3 linked regions of the Arabidopsis thaliana genome follow. The protein of the gene in region 3 interacts with the protein of the main gene of each other region in a pairwise test. Each region holds a gene or a part of one and is shown on either strand. Other genes may lie near its edges.

What was found.
Region 1: the proteins of CLH1 (region 3) and CNGC9 interact in a protein complementation assay, tested with the Arabidopsis thaliana proteins (one large-scale study listed by BioGRID).
Region 2: the proteins of CLH1 (region 3) and AT2G42290 interact in a protein complementation assay, tested with the Arabidopsis thaliana proteins (one large-scale study listed by BioGRID).

The regions. Positions count from the first base shown.
Region 1 is NC_003075.7:14,924,578-14,932,070, forward strand, and holds CNGC9 (cyclic nucleotide gated channel 9), read right to left. Parts: upstream 5,779-7,493; 5' UTR 5,563-5,778; exon of another isoform or gene 5,426-5,562; intron 5,141-5,425; 5' UTR 5,105-5,140; coding exon 5,037-5,104; exon of another isoform or gene 4,889-5,036; coding exon 4,300-4,888; intron 4,199-4,299; coding exon 3,986-4,198; intron 3,896-3,985; coding exon 3,585-3,895; intron 3,501-3,584; coding exon 3,152-3,500; intron 3,069-3,151; coding exon 2,397-3,068; 3' UTR 2,257-2,396; downstream 1-2,256. Other genes in the region: AT4G30540 (Class I glutamine amidotransferase-like superfamily protein), read left to right, coding at 1-196, 391-498; GGP3 (Class I glutamine amidotransferase-like superfamily protein), read left to right, coding at 1,041-1,361, 1,595-1,927, 2,041-2,136; AT4G30570 (Glucose-1-phosphate adenylyltransferase family protein), read right to left, coding at 6,129-6,767, 6,845-7,084, 7,178-7,243, 7,324-7,374. UniProt on the Arabidopsis thaliana protein: Putative cyclic nucleotide-gated ion channel.
Region 2 is NC_003071.7:17,614,504-17,621,592, forward strand, and holds AT2G42290 (Leucine-rich repeat protein kinase family protein), read right to left. Parts: upstream 5,234-7,089; 5' UTR 4,970-5,233; coding exon 3,667-4,969; intron 3,127-3,666; coding exon 2,489-3,126; 3' UTR 2,257-2,488; downstream 1-2,256. Other genes in the region: AT2G42300 (basic helix-loop-helix (bHLH) DNA-binding superfamily protein), read left to right, coding at 7,039-7,089.
Region 3 is NC_003070.9:6,801,319-6,808,860, reverse strand, and holds CLH1 (chlorophyllase 1), read left to right. Parts: upstream 1-3,768; 5' UTR 3,769-3,937; coding exon 3,938-4,207; intron 4,208-4,360; coding exon 4,361-5,065; 3' UTR 5,066-5,375; downstream 5,376-7,542. Other genes in the region: AT1G19690 (NAD(P)-binding Rossmann-fold superfamily protein), read left to right, coding at 1-29, 120-159, 229-363, 446-583, 669-936; AT1G19680 (RING/U-box superfamily protein), read right to left, coding at 1,179-1,199, 1,292-2,242, 2,324-2,355, 2,622-2,952; AT1G19660 (Wound-responsive family protein), read left to right, coding at 6,621-6,918, 7,019-7,189, 7,289-7,338, 7,436-7,492. UniProt on the Arabidopsis thaliana protein: Catalyzes the hydrolysis of ester bond in chlorophyll to yield chlorophyllide and phytol. Shows a preferential activity toward chlorophyll a. Does not seem to be required for chlorophyll degradation during senescence.

The sequences.
Region 1 (7,493 bases), on a different chromosome or scaffold from region 3:
GTCGATCATACAATGTCATCGAGACGAAGTACTTGAGCCTCCAGAGTCGGCTAGAGTCATAGGATTCTCAGACAAATGCGACGTTGAGATATTCTCAGTGGAAGATCACTTGCTTTGCTTTCAAGGTCATCCCGAGTATAACAAAGAGATTCTCCTTGAGATCATTGATCGTGTCCACAAGATCAAATTTGTTGAGGTTCGTTTTAAACGTCTATCTTTGGTTTTATTAATCCTATTATGTATAGATTGGTCGGTCTTCTAATGTCCCAACCCTTGGGAGATTATTCCGCTACGTACCCAATTTAAATTCCGTTGTTCAGGATATATATATATATATGTAGCCAGGGTGAGGAATCTCTAAAACGATTTTTTAAACTAAAAAATATGTAGGAGGAAATTTTGGAGAAAGCAAAGGATTCGATCAAGAAGTTTGAACCAGACACGCAGCGTTTGCACATGCTTTGCAAGAATTTTCTGAAAGGACGAAGAACCCACTAATTGGTTTAGTTTCCACGTTCATGGTCTAAATAAATTCTACTACGTTTGTGTAATTTCATAACTATTATATGGTCATGGTCATCACATAATGTAACATATCTTCGCTTTTAACTAAATTACCGACTGCTATAAGAAATAATAATAATAAATTACCGATAAACAAAAAGAAGAAGACTGGTATTTGTAATTTTAATTTAGTCATTTATAAGTGGGTATAGGTTACGTGTATAAATAGATTATTTGATCTTCAAAAAATACACGTAAAATCGAGCTACGGTAAACAAATAAATGTGATTCTAAACTTAGATAAATTATTAGGTGGAGTTGTCATCTTATAGACAGCTAATCTCGATGTGTGATTCTTTTTTTTTCAACTAATTTTTGACTATTTTTTTTCTGTTTTCTTTATTTAACAAAAATCTCACTTGGCGTGTCTGATCTTGTTCCCCGTCGTCGTCTCTAACTTACACATTTCCATTCTCCGAATCTCTATCTCTCCTTTTGCTTCATCGGTGTGATCTCTGAGACGAAAGAAGAAGAAGATGGTGGTTATTGAGCAGAAGAAGAGGTTTGCTTTGTTTTTAGCGACGTGTGATTCAGAGTTCGTGAAGAAGACTTACGGTGGTTACTTCAATGTCTTCGTTTCAACTTTCGGCGAAGAAGGTGAGCAATGGGATCTATTCCGAGTCATCGACGGACAATTTCCCGACGAGAATGATTTAGACAAGTACGACGGTTTCGTTATCAGTGGTAGTCCACATGATGCTTTCGGAGACGCCGATTGGATTGTTAAGCTTTGCGAAGTTTGTCAGAAACTTGATCACATGAAGAAGAAAGTTCTCGGCATCTGCTTCGGCCACCAGGTTCCTTTCAATTCAGTTTTGCTCAATTTCTGATTTGGATCTGATCGGTTGGAATCTTAGGGTTTAGATTGACTCACATTTAGCTCATTTCAATTTTTAGATCAGACTCGAGTTGTTCCAATGCCATTATAGTTAGATTGATATCTTTATATTGTTGGTTTATTGATGGAGAGAGTGTTTGTTGATGAACGTTTGCTTTGTTCTGGATTGTGTCTCTGTTCTTTTGGCTATAGATAATTACTAGAGTTAAAGGTGGGAAGATAGGAAGAGCACTCAAAGGTGCAGATATGGGACTTAGAAGCATAACCATAGCGAAAGACAATGAAAAACTACGAGGTTACTTTGGAGACGTTGAGGTCCCAGCATCTTTAGCTATTATAAAATGTCATCAGGATGAAGTGTTGGAACTTCCTGAGTCTGCTACACTACTTGCTTCTTCTGAGGTATGTAACGTCGAGATGTTCTCTATTGGAGATCATTTTTTCTGTATTCAAGGGCATCCAGAGTATAACAAAGAGATTCTGTTTGAGATTGTGGACCGAGTCCTTAATATGAAGCTGATGGAGGTTTGTTCTCCTTCTCTATGATCTCTATTTTTGCTAGATAAACATTTCGGAGTGTTCTTGTTCTCAATGTAGTTAGCCTTATCAAGAATTGCAATGTGATTGATTTTTTTCAGCAAGAGTTTGCGGATAAGGCAAAGAGTACGATGGAGACTGCGCAACCAGACAGGATTCTATGGCAGAAGCTCTGCAAAAACTTCCTGAAAGGTTGATGATCCGAGACTATGTTATCTCTGTATGAACTTATCAAAAACTATGTCATCTCTCAATAAACCTGCAGTATCTTTCATATTTTATCTTCAGGAAACAGAAAGAAACACATATAAAACAAATCACAATCACAAATAATCTTTTATGTTACCACCTTTTTCTTTATCTTAATGTAGCAACACAAATCAAACAATAAAATTCAATCCGAGTTATACAAGTTATAAGCGTTCATAGACATTAGCACTTTTCTGGTAAAATTTGGTCAACTAGTATCATCAGCAGAGAAATCAGGTTCTGAAGGCTTCTGATATTTCACAAGTTCTATAGTAGACTTTGCTTCAATACGGTTCTTGTGAACTTTACGAAGTGCATTTGCAGCAAACTTTGAAGCCAGGAACGTCGCTCTGATGCTAGTAACTGATCCTTCTCCTTCTTCTTCTTCTTTCCTGAGTTGCTCAAGTTTCTTCTTCTTCACGTATCGTCGCCACGCGGCTTGTATGAAGATAGCAGCCCAAGTTCTCCATTGTTGCGAGTAGAATCTGAATGTGTGTTGAACTTGCCTGCTGTGTAGTCTTCTGAACTGGCTAGCCACAAATTTGAGCTCATCTGCTATCAAAGCAAAAGCCTCTACTTCAGTTAGAGCCTTTGCGGTTCTGGTAGAGGATGGTAGGTTGGAACCAGATTTGGGATCAAGTGCCCATGTCAAAAGCTCTTCCCCACAGAAATCTCCTTCTTTAAGCAAACTGCGGTTGAAGAAACCGCTTCTTCCGCCATCGGTGGTCACACTCTCAAGCCGACCACGGATAATGAAGAGCATCTCGTTAACCGGGTCGCCTTCCCGAACCAAATAAGAGCTCTCTGTGTACAGACACGGCTTCAACCGCTCACAGATTGCATCGAGCAGCCTCTCATCCATATTCTCAAACAATGGAACCTTTCCATAAGAAAAATAGAACAAGATGGTTTCATTTATGAATCAAGATTAGAAAAAGGCTTTTAAAGTAAGATTCAACTTACCCTCCGAACCAAAGCCAGACAGAGATGGCGTTTGATATCTCTTCTCAGATCCTTTGGGAGGTTCTGAACCAAATTCTCTTCATCAACTCCGCGTGTCTCCAACCATTTGTACTGGTCATATCGTCTGACTCGTTCTCGCAGTTCCGGTGGAAGCATTCGATGATGCATCCACTGTTCTGAATCACGTCTTTTCACTCTCATTTCTTCAAGCCGGATTGTAAGGGATTGAAGATAAGTCTGCATGTTTCCAATAAGAAGAGCAAAGAGAAGAAGTCCAGCAATGGCAAGTGCTATGGAGAATATAACTTCTCCAGGGTATGTGCTGGTTTCAAGCCCTTGACCAAGAGTGCTGCATTTGACATCGACAAAGTTACTAATGCAACAGAGACTTTTCATAATGACTATAGAAGACGGATTCTTTAGAATTACGTACCTGAGATTCTGAAGTCCCCACCATAAACAGAAGAAGTACTTAGAGACAAAGCTCTTAGATGAGACAATGCCAGAGGACAAGGCTCTTAAGTAGATCCCAAAATCAAAAGGAGGATTATCGGTTGTATTAACTGGGCAATTTAATTGCAGAACAGAATCTTTGATGGTAGTCCAAGCTGCATAACCATCCATTTTTTCATTACCACAAAACAGGAAGTTTCTGTGACAGTCCAAGCTGCTATTACTGCAAACCTTGGTCCAGCATCCATTATAACGTTCCAAGGCCAATAAGTACCATATAGCCCCAACAATCTGATAAAAACATAAGGGAAAAAAGAGAGAGTGATGAATGGATCTTTTGAGAATATAAGAGGAAAGCTACCAAAGATAGTATGTACTGACATGGCTTGCGAGCATGTAGAGTAGCAAGTAATAAGCTGCACCAGCCCAAGCAGTTTCAGCAAAAACACCAGCTGTTCTCTTTAACTCTGAGCTCAAAGGATACAACCGAATGAATCTTGGAATATATTGAACTAAAATGATAGATCGCAATGCCCGCTTTGTTGCTAGCACACTTGCACCTTTAGAGATGTAAAGAAATCTCCAAACTACAATCTGAAAAATCCAAAGAATAACATAAACTAGTCATAAAAATTTAGAGAACAAAGAAACAATGGAAGATAAGAGAACACTGGGAGAGGCATTTCTGTTATTACCTGTGGAAGTGGAAGCACAGAGAGAAAGTCAATGATGAAATACTGCTGCAAATAACGTTTTGCTATCTGTGCAGGGTCAATCACAAGTTCGCCTCGACCAAAAACCCGAGAAGAAGGGGCGACAAAAGCTGTTCTAAACCGAAGAGCCATGTGAAAAAGATAAAACGCATCAATTACTGTCCGCAGCGTTGTTGCTATAATAGCCAACTTCCGGTCTATACCGATACATTTCTCATTATCCTTAACAAACGGAAGATACAAGAAGAGCGGATCCACAGACACAGCGAGAATGCAAGAAGTAACAAACAGTTTGTTACAGAGCAAAAGAAACTTGTCCTGTGGATCAAAAATCTTCTTCTCTGATACTTTAAGATCTTCAGGAAAAACTGCTCGTGAAACCCCTAAACCAATTGATCTTCCTATAGACCAAAGACCTTTAGAACCTTTTCTAAACCCTTTCTTAAAGGAACCAGAAGATACATTGTTTCCCTGAGCACCACCACCACGTGTTGGTCCTTGTAAATTGAGAGTGCATCTGTTTAGACCAGTATCAGAAGTCTGCGAGTACCTAGAATCCATACTATCCAACCTGTGAAGAACAAAATAAACTAAAGATATCCATTTAGTTTCAAACCTGAAGTAAAGGAATGTCCTTTTTGGCTAAACAATATCTGAATCTGCTAGAATGATATCATCATGTTAAATTTCGATCAACTATATACAATAATGAGAGTTACCTTACAAACTTCTCGAGACGGCCACTGATTACTTGTGATTTGACTGCTTTTTTGCCACAGTCTAACATGCTTTTTCCTTGTGACTCAACTCATGAATCCCAAACCTGTTTTTACACACATAAGAAAATGTAATAAACATTTATGATCAAAATCATTTCAAGCAGCAAAATCCTAAACTTGCAATAAATATAAAAATAATTCAAGCACAAAAAATGTTATTGTTTGTTTACAGAATCTCTCTAAAAATCAAACTTGGTTAATGGGTTAAGAACATCCATCCATTTTCGTTGACCTGAGAACTCAAATTGACGGAAAAAACTTGAAAGGAACCACATTTTCTCCCCAAACCAAAACATCAACAAAAGGGTACAAACGAAAAAACTAAATACTTGAGTTTTCAGCATGAAAACGAGACGATCTTAAACGAGAAAGGTGTCAACCAAAATCAAGCAATGGGAAGTACAAAATGAAGATCATTCCAAACAGTAATTGGCTAAGAAATTAGGAGGGAATGCAAGAGATATACCAGAGAAGAAGACGAAGGAGAATTACGGTAGAAAGAAGTTACACGCCAAATCAGACGGAGACGAGAGAAGGGTGAAGAAGAAAGTGACAATGGAGTGGGAGGAGACGAAGTCGTTTCACAGATGAAAAAATATTGATTTTGAGAGAAATATCACAAAGACAGAAGAGAAGAAGAAGAAACTGAAAGTGTCTCCGTGCCGTCCGGGTCGGGTCCACTCTCTCTCTCTCTGCCGTCACGTCTTTCATTTTTCTCAACGTTAATTACATACACCAAACTATAGTCTATTAATAAATCACAGTTTCGTGTTTAAGAAACATAGGCTTTATCTACAATAATTTATATGTCCCTTATAAGAATGTCTCAAAACATTTACGAAAGAAATATACACAACTTGCTTAGGGATGGATCTGAAAAACGTTTTTCTCTATTGGTGTCGAATACCATTTTTAACCGGTTTATGATATGGTTTACCATAGAGTTTGTATCTGTTTTAAATTGTAAGAATATTGCGGTTCATAAGACTCTGGAAACAGTGGAACTAACTAATCTAGGTCTAGGCTCTGGTTTCACAGACCTTGCTCTTCGATAACAACCCCACTGTTGTAAACCTCTGCATCGGCGACGTTAACATCTTTGCCAAGAACCGTTATATTAAAAACTCGAGCCCACCTTCCAACGGTTGAATCCCATCCCACGATACTATTAGAGATACACGCATGTTCCTTGATCCACACACCGCGCATTACAGTACAACCAAACAATCTTACACCTGAATCAATCACACATCCCGGACCAATCACCACATCAGGTCCTATCAAGCAACCTTCTCCTATAACCGCACTTTCGTGCACGAGAACATTCCCGATTATGTTATCCCCTGTGGCCAGTTCTTGCGGAGTTTTCTCTCTTAGAGAGTTAAGGTACATTCTTTGCCCGGTTATGTAATCTTTCGGTTGACCAATGTCCATCCAAAAACCAGGTAGTACCATCGCGTAAAGCTTCTTCTCTGAAGCTATCTTAGGGAATATCTCTTTCTCTATCGAAGTCCTTCTCAGCTCAATCCTGTCAAGAACAGATGGGCTCAAGAGGTATATCCCAGCGTTGATCTTGTTCCCCACAAAATGTTTCGGTTTCTCGACAAAACTTTCAACTCTCGCTGTACCTTCCTCTGTAACCACCACACCATACTTAGAAGGATCATCAACCTGTTAATATCAGAAAATGCTATTAACAGATGAAAGATAAACTTCACAAAATGCAGAAAATGCTCCTGTTTGACTACCTCGGTCACCATGATTGATGCTTCAGCACGGTTAGTCTTGTGAAACTCGATCATCTCAAGCAATGGGTATTCACAGATAACATCGCTGTTTAGTACAAAAAAGGGTTGGCCTGATTCATCGACCAGCTTATCCCGAGCCAGCGCGAGAGGCCCTGCTGTTCCAAGCGGTTCAGTTTCTTGGGAAAATGTAATCTTAATCTCTAGCTTCTTCTCATATTCTTTCACAAAGTTCAACATGACCTGAGTAATACCAAACACACAAGGAGAAGGAGGATGACACGGAAGAATTTCAATTGTTATCGTATCGTTATTAAGGACAATGAATGTATGTACCTCTGGTTGTTGGTGATTGATAGCTAATACAACTTCAGTCACTCCAGCACCTTTTAGAGCTTCAATCTGCGAATGCATCATAATGAGAACAAAAGAAACTGTGAAAACTTGAGCAAATACAAAAGAAGAAGAAGAAGCTAACCTACCTGATGCAAAATCATGGGTTTGTTTCCAAAATCAACAAGTGGTTTAGGCATGCTCAAGGTAAGTGGCCTCAATCTGGTTCCGAATCCTCCAACTAGAATAAGAGCCTTCAATTCTGCATAAATATAACCAGATGATCTACTGTCATCTATGGGAGAATCAACAAGAATTA
Region 2 (7,089 bases), on a different chromosome or scaffold from region 3:
CGTACGTAGCTTTCCAAATCCGATTTTAAGGTTCACGGAACCTATACAGTGTACAGCTTACGACACGATCGTGACGGAGGACGTTGACGCCGTTATCACCCATTGGGAACGTAAGTTGGCGACTACTATAATCTGTGTGACATACGGTACACCTGCATGAAAAAGTAAGATTTGAAACTAAACTCTAAAACCTTAGTGGTCGATGGATTATACAGTGACGTGACTCTATGTGAACGATATACACCAGATTACGTCTCCTCTAAATCTCTTTAAATCTTATCTTAGTTTAAACTTTAATAATTCACGAGCGCCGTCTTTTTAAAATCTAAATCCAATAAAGCGACTTGTTCTCTATGGAGTTTTTAGCTATTCAGCCCTTTAATGGAAATTGATTAATTTTTATATTTTCAAAAACCTATTCGTATCGTATCAGTCTGAATTTTTAGCTTTTAGTACAATGTAAGAATTGAAAAAAGAAACCGAACCATTGAGAAGATTGGGGTGGTGAATTTGCTTTGAATGTGAATTTATTCTCTATGGAGTTATTAGCTGTTTCATTCCCTTTTTTATATGGGGACTACGGTTTATGTGCCTGAGGCTCTATATATATTGCATATAGATTGATGACATTGACATAGGCTAAGCTACATAGTCTTAAAACTTCGAGCTGTTTAATAATTAATCAACAAGAAGACAAAATTGTATGTACAAAGCACATGCACATACATAATACTATTACTATTTAAGCATAGGTAATTAATATTTAAAAGTTGTACATACTATCTCGAAACTAGCTATATACTGATGATACTTTGTTTTATATCACTAACGAATGGGCAAACATAAAAAATATAACTCAAAACTACATTGATCTAATTCAACTGAATCAAAATTTCGTATCACCGTGCAATGAAAAGTATGTTTAATCATACGTAACAAATGTTTTTGTTCAAATCAAACCAGTATTTCTTCAAAGGAATCCATATATACCAATATATGATTAGTTATCTATAACAACTATTTTCCAAATCATCACACACAAGTTTTCTCAAGTGCTCTCACTTCAATGCAGGTCATAATCTCTTAGTTTTTTTTTTTTTTGTAAAGACGTGCATAAAACAAACTCTTCATTGCTGAAGTTCTTTTTCGAAGAAAATCAGTGGTCTCAACAATTTTCTTCTAAATGCAATGGATACAACGGGAAAAACACCCAAAAAAAAAAGAAAAAAAAAAAGAGATTGAAATTAAAGAAGCAAATATCAAGTGCCATTTATAAAGGTTTGGCCTAAAGAAATGTGGAAAATTAGAAAGCAAATCCCGTCCGTGGCTATGTGGATGGGAACATGGACACGTGAGACCCCATTAGTTTCTCAATGTTGTTGTGTACATTTTGTTTTTTATACTGTTTGATAGTAGTATAAATATAAAAAACAAAACGATTCCCATCAATTTATTTAAAAATCTTTTTATGTTCTTAAGAAAAAATAGATTACATTGATAGAAGTGGGGAATCGTGGTCCAGCTTTGGCTTTTATAATGTCAACAAGCTCAAAAAGGGGGCTTCACTATTTTTATTTTCTTCCAAAAAGAAACTTCTATATTAAGCAAGTGTTTCTCTCCTTTTTTATTTAATTTTCTCGAGTGGGCTGCTAAATTTGGAACTAATCAATCGTGCTGGGGGCAAGATATGTTTTGCCATGAAGATCTCTCTCTTTTTGGTTTATAAAAGTCATACTTTTTGTTGTCAATTTGAACAAAGGACCAACGGTGGGATCTGATCATGTTTGATGTTTCTGACAAAAAATTATATTCGAAATAGATTTGATTTTGCCTTTCTTTCTCATTTCTTATGTTATTGCTAACGATCGGTTCAAATTTATTTCATTTCACATCCCCCATGCGCAAGAGATATGCAATCATGCGATTGAGTATAATCTATTTTCCCGTTTTCATAATATTTAATTAGAACAGGCTCACAAAAGAGCTATTGAGTCTCTTTTTTTTTTTTTTGTTAACCATGATCTTTCAAAAAATCTATGCATCTATCAAAATCGAATATAAGTTTTGACCAATGAAAACAAACAATTTAAAATACATGTATAATTTATAAACCCACTTGGTGATATTATATAATTCTTTTGAGTTTTGGAAAGATAGGATCAATCATGCAAATTGCAAGGATTGTCAACATTTTTTCGTATTTTAATCTTTACTTACAAAGCCTGATAAGGTTTGAAACAAGATCTTTATCATAATTTCCTTATTAATATTATCTGTGTAAGATTCTAGAAGGGGCAAATAATTTCACAACCAAACTCTCTTCCTTAAGACACAAGGTACATGTGATGATAAACAGAGACAGACACTTGATCCGGAAATAAACCTTAAACCCTTTTAAACTTGCCATAGAAACTACAAAACTCCACTTAGCCTGAGACTAATACATACACAACTAATTAATCCCGGCTCTTTAAGAAGTGGTTAATTCCTATTTGATCCGACCTAGAATTTCAGACACAGATCTCATCCTAGGACGCATATCTGGATCCATTTCCGTGCAGTTTAAAGCGACATGGATGGTTGCAATAACCTGCTTATTCGCAAAATCCTGTTTCAGAAGCTTTGGGTCTAAGATCTCAGCCAAAGATCTCTCTTCCTTGTGCCACTTCCTCAAAACATTCACGAGTTCTTCTTCTCCTTCGTTTTCAGAGGAACCATAAGGTAATCGACCAGTCAACAGCTCCAATAGAATCACACCAAAAGAATAAACATCGCATTTGTGAGATAATTTGCAATCAGAAGAAGCTCGGGCTTCGGGTGCAAGGTAAGCAGCTGCAGGAGCTGAGACTGAGAGTCTTGTGGCAAATCCTTGGTCTATACTTTGCGTCATGGATGATAGTGAATGGTCAGTGACTTTGGGATAGCCGGAAACCAGTCGTGTGAGACCAAATCCTGAGACGTGAGGATGCAGCTCATTATCTAACAGGATTTTGCTTGATTTTAGGTTGCCGTGAACATACTTTCTCGAACTGTATTCATGTATATACATCAAACCCCGAGCAGTCCCTTGAGCTATACATAACCTCTCAGCCCAAGAGAGTGTAGGCCGAGTATTCGAAGGTCCACCTACAGAAAAAAATTCAAATGCCGTCTCAGAAACCAGTGATACATGATACTCAAAGCACAGCATATCTCAGGAAAATGGAAAAATCTCAACGAGTACTAACTTCCCAAGGCAGATCAAGCAGAGGTTAACTATGAAAAACACACATCTATCGGATCATAAACTAATCTCTGTCTAAGAACCAAAAAGAAATATTCTTTCTGTCACATTAAACACTCTCTAGACTACCATTAACTCATTCTCGACTTAAGTTTTCCCATGAAAATAACAGGACCACATACTATAATGCTACACAGAAGCAAATCTGTATGCTTGTCATCGAGTTCTACTGTTTCAAGTTTCAACACATGTAAACACAGTAAAGCTTTGAACAATAAAACAATGAGAAGAAGCGAACATGTTAGTCAATACAACACAATCAGACAAAGACAAAAAAAAAGCTCTCCACTTTATAGTCAGAGCAAGTACACATAAAAACCTTATAACTAGTGGTAGATTTATGCAGAATTAGCACCAAAATAGGAAAAAGATTAGTGTTTTACCATGTAAGGCAGAGTACAAGCTGCCATTGTTAATGAAATCAGTGATGAGAAGCTTCTCGTCCTCTGCATAGTAGTAAGCTCTTAGCCGTACAATGTTAGGATGATTGATCCTACCAATGCTCTCAACTTCATTCACAAAATCCTTAAATCGCCACGTGTCATTGCCGTCGCTGAGCCTTCTAACGGCGACAACGGTGGAGGACGATTCCGCCGCCACTACTCTATACACAATCCCGCTTCTGCTCTTGCCTATCACGTAAGCCGATGCTCTCAGCAAATCCTCAAGCTCAAGCTCGAATCCTTCATCAAACGCTACGAATTTACCTTCTTGCCCTTCTTCGTCGAACTCTGAAACCACCGTCGTCGTCTTTGTCTCCGAATTGTACCCATCGGAGCTTCGTTTTCTCCGGATCAGCCATACAGAGAGAGAAACAGCTCCGATTACAACCGAAACTCCAGAAATCAGAGAAACGGTTACTGAACCGGTGATCTGCTGCTTCTTCTCCTTTGCGTCGTCATTGCTGATTACACTAGGGTTTGGTTTCTGGAGTTCTTGAGTACCTTCCGGCTTTGCAGCGACGAAATTTGGGGTTTTGATTTTTTCACACGGCGTTTGCAATGGGAAGCCACAGAGATGAGAGTTTCCAGCGAATGCGTTTGGTCCTTGATTCAACAGAGATCCCACCTGAGGTACTTTTCCGGTGAGATTGTTGTGACTAAAATCTAAGCTGACGTGAACTCGAAATCGACCGTACGACGGTGGAATCTCGCCGGTGAATTGGTTGAAAGAGAAATTCAAGGTTCCGACGAGGCTTCCGAGTTCAGTGAGTGACTCAGGGAGTGAACCGTTGAGATGATTGGAGGAGAAATCAAGGTGGTTGAGTGACTTCATGGACTTGATTTGGGCCGGTATTGGGCCGGAGAGTGAGTTGTGAGAGAGATCGATGTACCGGAGCTTGGTTGCTTCGAAGAGACGAACCGGTATGGTTTTAGAGAAATTGTTGTGAGCTAGATCAAGCCGGTTTAGCGAGTTGAGTAAACCGAGTTCTGATGGAATGTAACCGGAGAGACTTTTTCCGAAGAGTACAAGAGTTGTGACTCGGCCGTTTGTGCAGACGATTCCGGACCAATGGCAAGGAGTCGGGTCGGATTCAGACCAGTGGGTCATTACTCGGGTCGGGTCGTTATCGACGGCGGATTTGAGAGCTAGGAGAGATAAACCGTCGGAATTGAGAGAGGAGCAAAAGCTCATGCAGAGAAAGATGGAAGAAACAACAAGTGAAAGAATCGATGGTAACTTCATTTTTTGCTTAGGATATAGGAATCTTGAAACTTTTTGGTTGTTAAAGAAGCTACAAATTACAGATGATTCATATAGTGTGAGGCAACGAGAAGTTGCAGAGGAAAAACGGTAAACAGTGAAGACGAAGGAGAAGAATAATGGGAGATTTGACCGAGGTATGATTCTTTTATGGTTTCATGTTAGCAACGTGGTGTAATGTAGTCATGATCAATTTTTTGAATTCTTGTCCATATACTATGGTTTGAAATTTTAATAATATATACACTACAGTTCTAATTAAAAATGTGATATATTGGGATTTGCGTTTTGGGTTTTTGACATTTTGTGGTTATTTTTGAAACTTTTTGAAGTTTAGTTATTGATTGATGCAGGTGGGTTGTTGTTACATTTTTAATTTGTGTGTATCCGTTGGTGATATCTAGGGTCACTGGATTTTTATAGCATTAAAACTATATATAGGTATCAAAAAAAAAAGTTACAACAAATTTGGGATACAAAAAATAAACAAAGTGTTATCTTAAATGCTATAGTCTATAGAATCTTAACTCGTATAGGACCTCTTCACTCTTGAGCCATGAAAAAACTGTACAGTCCCACTGGGTCGATAATTGTTTTACTTTTACAAGATTCAGCAGTAACTAAAAAAAGGATTAAAATATGTTTAAGAATAATTGAAAATAATCGAACTCGACCTATTGCATATGAATTTGAATTGGATAGAGGATGTCATATTTATTCAAATTAAAGGAGGGAAGAGACGGTAGAGAGTGGATTGTGTCAGAGAAAAATCATTAACCAACCGACAAAGTAACCACACAAAGATGCATTTGAAAATATGCCACTTTTGGCTCCTCTACTCCTAGTCTTAATGGGCAATTCCGAAATATACACGAAGAGTCACAAGTCCCATTGTTGTTGGGTTAGCACTTTGTCACGGCCCAAATTCAACTTATTCACAACATCAAATAAATATATGCATCATATCATCACATCCGACTTTTGTTAACAATTACTTTTTTCAGTTAAAGAACTTTCAAGAGGAAATAGTAGTACCTTAAAATCCTACAAAACCTTGTCGTGCAAGAACTGGGAGGGCTACAAATTGCGGTCAATGTACGCAAACATCTTACCGTTTTTGGTACAAACACTAGAACTCCAATGCAGTGAGTGAGATGGGCCAATTTTGGCAATCTCAATCAACGGTCCATGTGGCCCAATAAATCACTAAAAACGGCCGAATTTTTAGATCCATGTAACTTAAATAATTGGTGGGGACGGAAAGTCTTGTCGTTTTCATTTATTCGAGTGTGGCACTCTGATTCATCTCAAGCTTATTTTTTATAAAAAGAGTAATTTTAGAGGCTGAACAATAACGACCTTGAACAAAATAAAATAAAATAAGAGGGTGAACAACGACCAGTCAAAATTTGAAAATTTACTCACCAGAGTCTATAAAAATTAAAAAGGAAAGGAAAAAAAAAGAATGAATCATAGTGAAATGACCTTATTTATGGCTCCAACTATAGTGATTAGTAACCACTAAACCAGAAAAAAACAAGTGACCCATTACACAGGGATTAAAAATACTACCGAATAAAGCCCAATAGGCCCAATTCAAAAGCGTCTCTCTATCATCGTCTCTCCAAACCCCATAAATTGGATATTTCCTTTCTCTAAAAATTTGGCTTTATTAACAGACGCACTCCAAAGCTAACGTTGCTTTCTTCCCACTCCAAATGGCTCTTGTGCTCTCAGAACACACACAGATATAATAAACTCTTAACGAAGAAGAAGACTTTTTCTTTTCTTGAGCAAGCTCTGAGAAACTCACAGAGAGGGACAGAGAGAGAAATATTTCATTCGCTACTCTCTTTAATACCGCCATTGATGCAACCTCCTTCGCGTTAACTGTCAAAATACTCCCCAACTGACAAAAATTAAATTCCTTTTTTTCTCTCTCGATTTTAAAAGCTCTAAAAGGAACGAGTTGATCAAGTCGGTCGGTTCTGGTTATCACTGAATTTCATTCAACTCGGTTTATTCCGGTTTAAGTGTGATTTTCCCGGCTAATGGATCTGACCCAAGGTTTCAGAGCTAGATCCGGCGTTGTTGGGCCGGTG
Region 3 (7,542 bases):
TCGATGGCTTTGTTATCTCTCATCAACAAGTATTTTCCTTTTTAACTTTCCTCATTACATCAATGCTTCTGCTTCCACAGTAGACAGGAACTTACAATACTTCTCTTTGATGCTTGCAGGTGTGTATGGAGATTGTGGTGGTGCGTGGGTCAATGAAAAGTAAGTTTCTTTCTTCCAAGTTTCATCTCTTTTGTTCATGATAGATAAGGTCGTTCCTTCATATTGCAGTCATCTCCCAAATCCTAAAACTCAGTCAGCCAAAGTGAGATTAGCTGCAGAACAAGGATGGTTAAGCTTGGGTCGTGATCTTGGGGTTTCGACTCAAATACTTCGACTTGGGGGTATTTATGGACCTGGTCGAAGGTTGTTTACAGCTTCTGATTGTGTATGTAGTGCTTAAACAGGCTTTAAAACTGATTCTCAAAAGGAACGTTTCTTGCTGCAGTGCAATTGATACCTTGTTAAAGCAGGAGCGTTTGTCTGAAGGTCAAAAGAGAAGAGCGTCCCGTAAATTCACGTCGAGAGTTCATGTTGAAGATATATGCCAAGTTCTTAAAGCTGCCACTGAAAAGCCAGCATCAGGGTTTGTGTATCCCTCTTCATCTATGATCATTCTTTTGTGATGGATGATTGAACCATTGAGACGGATGAATCAACCATTTTGGCAGGGAGATCTACAATATTGTTGATGATGATCCGGCAGCAAGAGAAGAGGTGTTTGAATATGCCTTGGAGTTGATCGAGAAACGTTGGCCGGGGAATATCACCACAAAACCATTTCCATTTCTGTATGAATCTCGGGAGGAAAGTTCATTGAGAGGCGAGAAACGAGTCTGCAACGAACGCATGAAGGATAAACTAGGAGTGAAATTGTTATATCCTTCGTATAAGTCAGGACTGCAAAGCATAGTCGAGAACATGGACAACCGTTTTTGAGCACACCACAGGACTAAATTCCGCTGATCTGAATCTTTCCTGTGGAGAATTAGGGACTCTTTAGTAAAGATAGATTTTTAGTTTATCCTTTTTTGTTTCTTCTGCATTCTACAAAATGACAAGTTTGTTTCATTGGTACACATATTTTCCCCATGTGACATTTAAACATGGAATAAAAGTAAAAAGGGATACAAAATGTTTAAGGGAGCTTTTCTCTAATCCAAAGCCAGTCCTATTTTATGTCATGTTGCCTGATTAAGGCCCTGAAATGCGGAAAAAGAAGTGTTAGCAGTTGAGAAACTTAACTTTGTTTAGATGGAAAGTGAACATATTGAGTCTCGTATGGATATTTTACCTCAACGCTTGAAAAAGAATGACTTAATCTTTTATTACTATGTCTGGACCAAAAGCTCTTCTTCGAGGTAGAATCCCTGGCTTTACTCCACTTGGTGCTGACGGAACCGAAGTGCCATTTCATAAAAGACTTAGACGTGGAGCCTTTGGTATTCGAACTAGGATCCATCTTCAGACCTTTTCCTTCTCGTTTCCCTAGATTCTGGAACATAAGATCCTCACATTCACTGCGGACATAACTATCTACCACACGGTTCTTACACCTTTTGTAACTCGTTGCCTTCAATTCTGCCTCGGCTTTTAGAGCTTTCCTCGATAATTTAGTAACCTGTGTCTCTGTGCATATGGGACACGTAGGATCATACTTCTCTGTTTCATTTGTCATTGTCTCTAAGCATGCCGCATGGTAAACATGGCCGCACGCTAGAACAGCAGGAATTGGAAGGTCAAACCTGGCAACTGGAGACCTTTCAGTTAAAAGCTTTGAGCAACGCCCACAAGTCTGCTGATCAACAGAAGGGGAGCATGAGAATCTGCTACTACTACACCCACTTAGTCTTCGTCGTCCGGAACCTAAGTGCTCATTATCAAAAGACCATCTCTCCCTTTGAGACTGAGCCACGAGCTCACAAAAGGCGTTTATGGACCAGCCACCTTCAGAAGAAGCAAAATGGGACCCAGTGGCAGTGTCATTACTACAGGTCGAAAGCACAAAGGACGACCTTCCTTCAGATGTTGAGTAATTATTGGGAGATTTCAATCCCAAAGTTTGACTATCAGAAACCTGCCTAAACAACTGCTGCCCAGGTGAACCTCGAGCACGTCTAGACGGAGTTGATCTGGGAGGAAGTGAATGTGTGTGAGCTGAAGGAAGATCAGAGACCGAGGTGGAACTTGACGGATTTGGTAAAACTGATGAAACAATATCTGATGAGTCAACTATATTCTTCACCTGAAGAATTAAAAGACGAGAGGGTTAAGAGACTCTGAAGGGACGAAAAGAGACTCTGATTGGAGTAAGTAATGATCTCACCTCAACACGAACAGGACTTGCCAAGGATACATCTGCCCAGAGAAAATAGATGCATGAGAGACAGGAAAAAAATCCTTCATTACAGTAAGAAAATAAAGCTGAAATGATCTCTACCAAAAAATGAAATGTCTCTCGATCTAATCCTACCAAATAAATGTTGTTACCCCTTTGACTGGATTGAGTAGACTGGAAAAGAACATCCACGAAGGAACTAAAATCGACTCAACAGTATATTCCCAAACAATGAAACTGAAAGTTCTACACTTTCCCCACAAAAAAAGTGTTTGAACGAACATACCTGAAGGAGATCGAATCGCCAAACTTGTACCCGCTAAAGGAGCTGTAACCATCGAAGCTGTGCCCATCTCTGAGTCTGCGGATTTCTGAGAGCCAAGAGTAGCTAAACCCCCAGTTTCAGATGACGGAGGTCCTCTCTCTAAGCCTAACGACAACTTATCGATGTCAATACCTCTACTCCCAACATTATGATTAGATGAATCTTTAATCTCATCAGCTACACGCCTCCTGTTGTCCCGTCGAAAACTCCACGATGGTGAACACACTGAATTATCAATAGCTCCACTGGGAACATTTCTGTCCTTTGCAGCCACACAGCAAACAGACCCCATAATCCTTAAAAGAGAGCTGTAATGAATATGTCTTACACAATCTCCATTGGTGGTGCTTCCTAATCTACCACTGAAGAACTTATCACAGTAGCAAACCACAATTCTGCATATAAACAAACAGAATGTGAACTTCGAATCAGAGCCATTATAATACATAGAGGTGAAGGCAGAGACCTCAAAATCTAACGCAGAAATCATCAATGGAACGGAATTAAAGTAAATACAATAGATGATTCTAAAATCCGGGGGTTCACCAGGGACTCACCAGAGCAACTAGGGTTCCGCAGGATTGAAACGAGGTATATGAAGATGCGGCGGAATTCGAATCCAACGGCTGAGAGAGATTTCAATTACTCGACGGAGATGGCCGCCGATCTGAGAGAGAGAGAGACGGAGGTTGGGTGCGTCGCAGGGAAATTGTGCCACGTCACCCTTCCTCTCTTCTTTTTCTGTTCTCTGTTTTTCTTGTGCTACTATTTGTTTTTGGTCAAATTTTACTTTTTTGGTCAATTTGTTTCTTTTTTTTTTACATAACAATTTTTTTTTTTTTTTTACTGAACAAACATAACAAAATGTTTTTTTTAACAAACATAACAATATGTTTCCTAATGCAATTTGATTATATTTTTTAGTAGTACTTAGTAAGTCTTGGTATGTGTTTATGGACACATCGTTTTCGGGAAACGAATTAAATTGTACTCCGAAAATGATAAATGCATGGAGTAATTGTATACCAACTAACTTGTAATAATTTGAATCAACACATGCTCTTTTGTTTACGCAGCCCATGCATTTATCGTTTTCGAAAGTATTTAATTCATTTTGTTATAACTACGATGAGAAGCCGAGAGAACCACAGAATTATAATGAATCGGATAAGAAAAATCAACATTCTCCCCCTATAAATACAAAACAACTAGCTAAAGTTCGAAGGATTCATACATAAATCTTCAACACAACTCTTTAATTATCTAGTTTAATACAAATGGCGGCGATAGAGGACAGTCCAACGTTTTCCTCTGTGGTAACTCCGGCGGCTTTTGAGATAGGCAGCCTCCCGACAACCGAGATACCGGTGGATCCGGTGGAAAATGATTCAACAGCACCGCCAAAACCGGTGAGAATCACCTGTCCAACAGTCGCCGGAACTTATCCCGTCGTTTTATTCTTCCATGGCTTTTATCTTCGCAACTACTTCTACTCTGACGTTCTTAACCACATCGCTTCGCATGGTTACATTCTTGTAGCCCCACAGGTACATAATTTAACTATACAAAAAATAATTATGAATCATTTAAAAGGATAACTTACGGTATGTAACATGTAACATGTAAAACAAAATGTACATTAATTGAGATTGATTGTTACGTGAAAAGATATAAGTTAATTTTATATTCTTGAATGACAGTTGTGCAAATTATTGCCGCCGGGAGGGCAAGTGGAAGTGGACGATGCTGGAAGTGTGATAAACTGGGCATCGGAAAACCTCAAAGCTCACCTACCAACTTCGGTAAATGCTAATGGAAAATACACCTCACTCGTGGGCCACAGCCGCGGTGGGAAAACGGCGTTTGCGGTTGCGCTAGGCCATGCCGCAACATTAGACCCATCCATCACGTTTTCAGCTCTAATAGGAATTGATCCAGTCGCAGGAACTAACAAATACATTAGAACCGATCCGCATATCTTAACGTATAAACCGGAATCTTTCGAGCTGGACATACCGGTTGCAGTGGTGGGAACCGGACTCGGACCGAAGTGGAACAACGTGATGCCACCATGCGCACCAACGGACTTAAACCATGAGGAGTTTTACAAAGAGTGTAAGGCGACGAAAGCCCATTTCGTGGCTGCGGATTACGGACATATGGATATGTTGGACGATGATTTGCCCGGTTTTGTTGGGTTTATGGCCGGTTGTATGTGTAAGAATGGGCAAAGAAAAAAGTCTGAGATGAGGAGCTTTGTAGGTGGAATTGTGGTTGCGTTTCTCAAGTATAGTTTGTGGGGTGAAAAAGCGGAGATTCGATTGATTGTGAAGGATCCTTCCGTTTCTCCGGCCAAGCTTGATCCTTCACCTGAGTTGGAAGAAGCTTCTGGTATCTTCGTCTAGATTTGTGTTATGTACTATTATCAGAGGGGTCTTGAATATTTGAAAAACCTATCAATGTTTTCTAGCTCCAAGCTAGCTATTGTTCATGTCCTAAGTTGCATGTGTATTTTTATTAAACTCGATCAAAACATTTGTTATAGTTTTACCCCAAAACTTTACAGCTTCTTCTTATACTAAAACCTAAACACATTTAAATAGCTATATAATTCTCTATATAATTCTTATATAATGAAATGTGACCAAGCTTTTCAACTTCGTTGCAATGATTCATGTAATTTGGTTTAACTCCGTCACAAACTCTATATCTTTGTAACATACCCTTATTCAAACTTTCTTGTTGTATTCTAAAGTTAATGGTATTTGTAACATATCGCAATTTCGATCTTATTTTCGTAAGGAGAAAGGAAAAATTTGCTCCTGCACTACAACATTTAATGAGAGCTCCAAACTCTACAAACAAGTCAACAATGACAAATTAATTTGGGCCTGCACTACGACAACGATACAGCAAAATGGAGACAAAACCACATTTAAGGTTTTATTGTAGGCAAATGGTCCTAAGATTGTCTGTATACGAAAGGTGCGTCGTGAGTCTCGTGACTCTTGTGTATGTGGTGGTTATTTTACTCTCGAGTTCCACGTGTGTTTGTTATAATTGTTAGTATATACGAAAGATTGTTAGTTATAACCACCAGCTGACCTGCTGAAGAAAGGAATTGAGATGAGCCGAAAAGGATCGAGTCATAAAGCTTGGACCGGTAGATATTTAAATGGGCCTAGGCCCATATTGGTCATTTACTTTCAAAGTAGATAAAACAGTTTCCCACACATCCCACTAAAGTCACATCCAAACATTACAAAAAGAAAAAAAGAAAAAAACCACCTTATCCATAACCATCCCTGACACAGGCGCCGTACACGTGGCGTCCATTAGGCTTAATTTAATCGGTGACTGTTACTTGATGACTTGTCAGTTTTCCACGAGTTAACGGTTCACGTCATCACGGCTAGACACTGAATTCTCATTTTTATCCCTTCACCACGACCATTAATCAAATGCAAGATATTGGTGAAAGGGTATATTCGTCATTGAAACAAACATGAGTCGATAAAATTGACAGAGTCACAGATTCTATTTTTTCCTCTCTCTCTGCTCTTTGTTGATCTGTCTGTGTGGGATTCTTCCTTTAGTTCCTCTGTTGATCTATCCAATCGAATCTTACGAAAATTTTCGGTAAAGTTTCACTCTTTCTTGTATTTCTATCATAGGTGATTGTAGAGATTCATCAGATTTTATGTGATTACGTGGTCAATTTAGCTACTAGGTGATATAATATAAACTATAGTTTTCACTTGTTTTGATCAACATGTTTTGTTTTTTTCCCGACCTTTTTAGCTATTGTATTTGTGTGGTGATCAGTTATTTCTCTTGCAAGTAAAGTAGTTTTGTGATTTTGTGAACCGAGTTAGGGTTAAGAGATGGGGTGATGTTGGATACTAAAAGTTTTAATTTTGACACTTGAATGTTTCTGGGTTCTGCATCAAAAGAGTGAAGATGAGGTCGCTTCAAGCACCGGTTGTTTGCCCTAGTGTTCGTCCCAGACAATTGGGTGTCTCTGCTTTACTTGTCAACTGCTCTGTTTCGAAAACTAGGAGTCTCAGAAAACAATTCTGGGGTAACCAGACCAAAAATGACAAGTCTCAGGCTGCTACAGTGAATCTTCGTCTGCATCTTCGGAGGTATAAGAGTATCAAATGTCTTTTCAGCTCGCACTCTGATGGTACCGGAAGCACAGCAGAGAATTTCAACGAGAACGATGAGGATTATGTCAAGTCTAGTGTATTGGAAGCTGGTAATCCTGGTTAAATCTGTATTTATACCATTAGTTCTCTCTATTCTTCTTGTGTTTTGATTCTAATCATCGATGTTCTCTTGTTGGTTTTGTATATAAGTTGAGGTAAAAAGTGGACCAGATGGTTTCATGGTGAAGATGAAGGATGGGAGGCAACTTCGATGTGTCCACAATAATCCTCAAGGAGGGAATCTTCCAAATTATGCTCCACATTCTGCAATTGTGCTGAAAATGGAAGATGGAACTGGTCTTCTTCTCCCCATTATCGTCTGTATGTGATATCAAAACTCATTCTTTTGTTTATGTGTGTTGAGATTTCCAATTTGCCTTGTGTTTTGAATCTCCTTTCTTTGTTTTTTGTTTATTGCAGTGGAGATGCCTAGTGTGTTACTTATGGCAGCAATGACAAATGTTCAAATAGTAGGGCTTCTGTTATTCTTTGCGTTATGCTTCTGTTTGAATCAGTCAAGAGTTGTGAAGAGAGGGTTTATGGATTTTTTTTGGTTACTGCTTGTAGGCAAGGCCCACTATGTATCAAGTGGTGAAGGACATGGTAGACAAAATGGGTTATGAGGTACGCCTTTCGGTTTTTCTGTTTTCTCTATCCTGTTATTTTCCCTTTAG